Ovis aries: one gene and its partner. The protein of the gene in region 1 interacts with the protein of each later gene in a biochemical or structural test. Links are inferred from orthologs where the notes say so. Each region holds a gene or a part of one and is shown on either strand. Other genes may lie near its edges.

Evidence for each region. The genes of interacting proteins can lie anywhere in the genome.
Region 2: the proteins of ARF6 (region 1) and CYTH1 form a complex in vitro, tested with the Homo sapiens proteins (2 studies listed by BioGRID and IntAct, with this or other methods). The link is inferred for Ovis aries from reciprocal best matches to the Homo sapiens genes ARF6 and CYTH1.

What each region holds. Positions count from the first base shown.
Region 1 is NC_056060.1:41,107,161-41,109,725, reverse strand, and holds ARF6 (ADP-ribosylation factor 6), read right to left. Parts: upstream 1,040-2,565; coding exon 512-1,039; downstream 1-511. UniProt on the Homo sapiens protein: GTP-binding protein involved in protein trafficking that regulates endocytic recycling and cytoskeleton remodeling. GTP-bound form plays an important role in the transport of multiple palmitoylated proteins form the Golgi to the plasma membrane.
Region 2 is NC_056064.1:52,903,845-52,908,077, forward strand, and holds the start of CYTH1 (cytohesin-1), read left to right. Parts: upstream 1-1,340; 5' UTR 1,341-1,421; coding exon 1,422-1,443; intron 1,444-4,233. UniProt on the Homo sapiens protein: Promotes guanine-nucleotide exchange on ARF1, ARF5 and ARF6. Promotes the activation of ARF factors through replacement of GDP with GTP.

The DNA of each region.
Region 1 (2,565 bases):
GAACTCATAAGAGGGGGCGAAAAGGCCTTAAATATAAAAGACAAACAGCAGTTTGATTAAGCAATAATTTTCAGTTTACTAGATGAAACAGACTTGCAACATAGTCTGCATGAATGCAAAATAAGCCATCTACAGCAAGTGATAAGGAAACTGGGCAAAAAGGAAAAAAGCATACATTGGAAAAGAAGATTCTCTCGAGATAAAAAAATCAAACCATTATTATAAAGGAATTTACCAAGAACTGCTATATTTCCCCCATCCCATTTGCTGGAAGTCAACAAGAGCATCTAGCACTTTGTGTTCATGTCAAAAAGTCAGATCAGAGCATCCTAACGCAAAGCAAAAAAAGAAAGAAAATCCCTAACCCCCTCCCCCAAACCGCAGAACTGTAACTCCAGAGTTCAAATTCAAAAGAAGAGAAAGTGGCAATTGAAAGAGGTGATGGTGGCGATAATCCTATGAATGGGTTTTTGATTTCTCTCCTTTCCGGGGGATGGGTGGAGAATGCTCATTAGGATTTGTAGTTAGAGGTTAACCATGTGAGCCCCTCATAGAGTCCGTCCCCCGAGGTGGCACAGGAGGGCTGCACATACCAGTTCCTGTCCCGAATCCGGGTCAGGCCCAGTTTCTCCTGGATCTCGTGGGGTTTCATGGCATCGGGGAGGTCCTGCTTGTTGGCGAAGATGAGGATTATGGCGTCCCTCATCTCCCGGTCATTGATAATGCGGTGCAGCTCCTGGCGGGCCTCGTCGATGCGGTCGCGGTCGGCGCAGTCCACTACGAAGATCAGACCCTGGGTCCCGGTGTAGTAATGCCGCCAGAGCGGCCGGATCTTGTCCTGGCCGCCCACATCCCATACGTTGAACTTGACGTTTTTGTAAGTCACCGTCTCCACGTTGAAACCCACAGTGGGGATGGTGGTCACCGACTGGCCCAGCTTCAACTTGTACAGGATGGTTGTCTTGCCGGCCGCGTCCAGGCCCAACATGAGGATCCGCATTTCCTTGTTCCCGAAGATCTTAGATAGCACCTTCCCCATCGCGTCGGAAGAGCCGGGGCCGGGGGCATTCAGGTGTCCCGGGTCCCCTCCGCCAACAACGCCGCCGCAGCCGCGAAACAGAAACGGAGCCTCCCAGTCGCGAGGGCGCCCGTGCGGCCTGCGTGGGAGTCGCCTCCTCTGGGCAGAGGCCCGGGCCCGCCGCTCACTCGGGCATCACCCACCACACAACTTGATTCCTCCAGGCGCCGCGGCCGCCGGGCGCTGAGTCTGCGCCGGGAGAGCCGCCGCCCTGCTGAGGCGCGGCCCGGCCCGGAACTGCCCTTCCCCCCGCAGGCGCCGCGCGAGCGCCGCCGCGGTTCCCGCTCCTCCGCCTTCTCCTGGAAGACTGCGGCCCTTCGGCCCGGTCCCCGGTCCGCGAGCACCGCGCTCACCACCGACCCAGGCCACCCGAGAGGCAGCGCGGCTCTGGCGCCCGGTCAGGTCATAGATCCTCGCGGGAACTCGGTGCGCTGCCTGCGGAGACACAGAGAGGGAAAAAGGAGTTACTGCGGGAGCCCCAGCGGAGAGTGGAAGCCGAGGGGGCCCGCCTCGTCAGCTCAGCCCAGGAGGTTACCTCCAGCCGCCGCCCCGCGCGCGGGCTCCCTCCGGCCTCCACAGCCTCCTCCCAGTTCTGCCGCTGCCGCCGCCGGAAAAGGCGCCGAGGAAACCGCCTCACTTCCCCTCCCGACTACGCAGGCGCAACAGAGGGAGTCCAACCGTTCGGGCAAGAGCGACCTCTGTAAGGAGAGCGGCCCGCGCGCCAAGCGTCGGGGCGCCACGCGCTGGGGGCGGGGCTACGGCGGCCCGGAGGTCTCGCGGGTGCGGCCAACCCGCACCCCCGCGAACCTGGGACTCTGACTAGCTCCCACCTGTCTGTCGCTCCTCTAGCGATTCCTTCCTCTATGCGTTCCTTCTTCTGCGCTCTCACTTCCTCCACTCCCAACTCGATCCAGGGGAGCTGATCCTCTACGGAGCTCCAAGGGGTGGGGCTCACGGACCGCCCGCTCCCCCAACGAACGCCTTCCCCGTGCTCCTTCCAGGCCTGTTCGCAGACCCCGATACCTGCCTGATGCTCCGCGAGGTCCCTCCAGCCTGCCGCAGCCTTCGGGAGCCCTCAGTCTCCCAGGGAAGCCGTAGCCACGGTTTTTACCTTTCCCCTGGCCCTCTTTGGCTTCCTTTTATCCCTCGTGTTCTGTGCGTTTCCTGAAAGACACGTGGGAGGCAAGTGGTTCGCGTGGAATCTGCCAGTCAGTGCGGCGCTTTTACTGGGCTTCGGTTTGTTCTCAAGCCCGTCTTTGGGGCATTTGAGCCCAATCTCAACACATCTCGGCAGGACCAGTCCACGTTTTTGTTTTGTGTTTTTTTAATTACAGTATTATCAACAGTTTCCATGCTTTTTCAGCTTTTTAGGAGGTGATAAATTTTCATGTATAAATATTATCATCTTTTAGTGTAATTAATAATAACTTCTTACCCAGCCACTCATTTGGAGAAGGAAATGGCAACCCACTCCAGTGTTCTTGCCT
Region 2 (4,233 bases), on another chromosome or scaffold:
GAGCCTGGATTTTATAGGCAGATGCTTCATTTCACGGGTGTGAGACAGGTCCAGGGGGCTGAGGTATTTGCCCAGATCACAGAGCTAATAGGAAGCAGATGTGGAAAGAAAACCTAGAGTTTCCTCATTCATTTACTCCTTTTCCATGAGAGGAAAGGGACTTTCCTTTGTTGTCTACCGGGAGGCATGTTTTGGAACGGTCTGTAAGGAAACAGACTGCTGAGAAGGGTCACAACTCCCCCTGATGGAGATATTCCCTGACATTTCAGGGGCATTGCCAGGACCTTGGGCTGAGCTCTTCTCCCGCAGCACCCCCAGTACAGCACATTGTGCTAGGGGGTCCAGGGTCATGCCCCCCAGGAGGGTCCTGGACCATCCCTGTGTGATCCTTCCAAATGACACACTTATAATTTTTATGTGTAGCACCAAATCAAGAAAGAGCATATCCATCCAGGAACAAGTAAAAAAGCAGCATTTTCGTTTATTTTTCTGAATTAAAAATTGGTGATGTCCCCACCTCCAGGTGCAGAACTACTGCCCAGGCTCCTCAAAGGGCAGCTCAGTCTAACCAGTGGGTGGGGATTGGTCGGTCAGCCCAGTGCAGGCAAATAAAACATGTAAGGCACAGCCTAGAAACGTATGAATCCAACAGTCGCAGGAATCAAGGTCACCAAAATCCTGACATGCTGTGAGGCTGAGGTGCCTCTCTTTGAAATTTGATCGGGGTACATTCAGAGGACAAAGAAAAGGAAGTATATAAAGGCAATGAACTCATGACATTCACGGTGCTAAGGTTCAGACTGCAGAAATAATGAACTCAAAATATTCTGGTATTCGGCCAAGGACTAGCAGGACCTGTGAAACTAACGTCAGCGAGGACCACCCTGCCCTTGAGTGGCCGGACACGACCTTGGTACCTCTGTGGGCGGCTGGGCTCTGGTCTGTTTCCCAGGCCTGCGCCACCCTTAGGAAATCCGAAACCTGCTGGGCCCCCGGAGGCGGCCGAGGCGGGGCCTCGGGTTGGGGCGTGGTCAGAGGCGGGGCCTCGGCGCCCGGGGCCAGCCAGAGGGGCGGGGCCTCGGCGGGCGCGCGTACGCAGTCCTGGGCAGAGTAGAGGACGCGGCCCCAGGGGTGCGCGCGCGGGCGACGGGGGCGGGGCCGCAGGCCCGGGGGCGGGGTCTGGGCGGGCGCGCGTGCGCAGGCGCGGGTCGGGAGGCGGCCGCGTGCTGGGCTCTGTGTGTGTGTGTGTGCGCGCGCGCGCAGGCCGCGGGCGGGGCGCCCCGCGGGGGACGAGGGGCGGGCGGCGGGCGGCGGGCTTGGGGCCGGGGGCGGGGCTCTGAGACTCGCCGGGCGAACGGGGCCGGGAGCTGCGGGACCTGGGGCGAGCGGCGAGCCCAGGCGCGGAGCCTGGCGCCGGCACCATGGACGAAGACGACAGCTACGGTCAGTACGGCCCTCGGTCCGGCCGGCGGACGCCCCCTCCCTTCCTCCCTTCACCGGCCCGGCGCCTTGGCCGCGCCTCAGGCGACTCACGTTTCCCGGGGACTGTGGTGCCGGACGCGAGCCGGGCGGGGCGGGGGCCTCCTCAGGGCAGGGGGCACCGGGGGCCCCGAGTGTTAAAGGCTGAGGGGTGATGAGGGGCCGACGTCGGGGTGCACGGGTCTCGGGGGCCGGCGCTGGGGGTCGCCGGGCTCCAGTCTCTGGGGCCGCAGTCGTAGGACCGGGGTCTCGGGGCCTGAGTCTCCGAGGCGGAAGTCCTCCAGGGTGAGGGTCTGTCTCGAGGCCGGGGTCTAGGGCGGGGTTCAGAGGAGGGTCTCGGGGTCCGGGTCTCGGGCGGGGGTCTCGGGCCGCTGTCCCGCGCAGGCCCAGCCTCCCCCGCGAACGCTCAAGTTCCCCCGGCCGTTCTCCGTAGTTTCCGGCCCCTTCGGTGCTGGCAAGTTATGTACCCTGGTCCATGTCTTTGTTCAGAAACAAAAATGAGAAAACACAGGCAGCGAACCCCGAGTGGACAGGCTGCCACCTGACGGTGCCGTCGGGGCCGGGATCTCCTGCCGCCGGCCACCCCAGGGTCCGAGGCTGACCGCCTCTCCGCGGAAACGGGGCTGCTGTTCCCCCAGCGCCTGCGGGGCGAGCCCGAGGGGCGCCGAGAAACCCAACTTTGCCTTCTCATCTGTGCCCAGAGACGCGGCACAGCCCTCACGCCACACCGACAGCGAACGCTTGACAAAACTACCCGTTTCCAAAGCCTCCTTCTGCTGACCTCACCTGGGAACTGTTGGCCATCCGCAGGGCATTCGTCTGTCAAATGGCTTCAGATTGCCAGGCTGGCAGAAGGCTATGTGGAATGCTTTCGTTAATTTATTTAACGTTTTATTCCCAAGAGATGAAAGAATGGCAGATAGAACAAGTGGTGAAGTTTTGTGGTTTGGTAAGCAGAGTACAGACAGCAGTTTGAAATGCTTGTGTGGCTTAGTGGAAGCGAATCCGCTTTCTTGACTAAGTGACATAGGCGACGTTTGTTTCTTAAGCTCTGAGGGAGCAAGCTTTGTTGTGGGGTATGTTAAAATGTGAAAGGTGAAGCACCTTGTTACTTTTCTGTTTGTTTACGAGTAAGTCATTGAGGAACCACTGACCGCAATAGGTGGGTTTATGACCCACAGTGGCAGACAGGGGAAAGGCCAGAGCACGTGGGATCGGTGTCCATCAGATGTCCCCTGGTTACCTTCCAAGTAAAAGCAGTGTGTGCTTTTCCTCTGTGATTGAAAAAAGAGAAAACACCCACGATTGATCCCAAAGGACTTTTCAGCCCCACTTAGGTGTCTGTTTCTGCCCACCCAGGAGAAGCCTTCTCCAGCTTTGCGTGCTCCTGTACCATCTCTTGCTGTTTAATCCAGGCTTTCTTCATGCCCTCTCCTGGTGGTCTTACCCACCGCTCGAGGCAGGAAGCTGTTGGTCTGGTTGCTTTGAACACAATGACTGCTTTGCCACCAGGCATGGCATGAATTCGTGCTCAGAAAGGGTGAATGGAAGCAGGGTGTATTTGTTTCCTGTGGCGGCTGTAACAGATTGGCACAAACAACATAAACTTGTTATCTTACAGTTCTGGAGGTCAGAAGTCCAAATTTGGTCTCACTAAGCTAAAATCAAGGTGTTTACTGGGCTGTGTTCCTTTCTGGAGGTCCTAACAGGAACATCTGTTTCCTTGCCTCTTCCAGCTTCTAGAGACTGCCCCCGTTCCTTGGCTGCTGGCTGCCTTCCACCTTCAGAGTCAGCAGGTAGCATCTTCTCAGTTCTGTCTGGCTTCTGCCTCTTCTAGTTAGGGCTCTGTGACGCCATTGGACCCACCTGATAAGGATAAGGATCAGCAGCCTTAGTTCTCCAATGGTAACCCCCTTTTTGCCACGTAGGGGCGGCGTGTTTCCAGGTTCTGGGATTAGGACAGGGCTATCTCTGGGGCCCATTATTCTGCTGACCACACATAAAGATGAGGAAGAAGTTGTTCTTTTCTTTCTGTTTGTACAATTAAAAAAAAAACATATTCTTCGTATATTGGAGGAAGCAGAAAGGTTGATTTAAAGATTTCCCCCACTCATTGGGTTTACCACACAAAAAGTACCTAATGGTTCAAGATGATCATAACAAGAAAAAGGTTCCTAGTTCTTTTTAAGGTTTGCCTCAGTCTCCAGAACTTTCCATTTCTCTCCTAGGTTTTACAGAGAATTTACCTCAAAAGATAAGACAACTATTCACATTCCACCTTTCAAACTAAAGTGGGTGCTGTGGACTCAAACAGTGCATAGAATGCCAGGTCCAGGGGGTTCCCTCGGAACCTCCATTGGTGGTTCATGAGTCAGCCTAGGTCACTACCATGATTTTTTAACATTGTATCTTTGGGGACAGGGTTTATGATTTCCATGCTATCACCTTGCTAGATAAAACCTTTGAAGCATAACTCATTTATAATAAGCTAAAGAAAGAGAATGTGTCTTAGAGTTTCTCTGTTCAACGAAAGAGAATTTTGAAAACTCACCAGAAGGCTTTTCCTAACTGCATACTCTTTGATGTTCTGTGCTGACCCAGAAACCACACCACTGAGTTCAGCAGCCCTTTCTCTTGTTCACTCCCTGTGATCCTGAGTTGTTTATTTGGTCTAGTTGTAATGCACTAGATCCATACAGCATAGTTCAAACTACACATGTGGTGTGATAAACCAGACTGTGAACACCTGTGTGA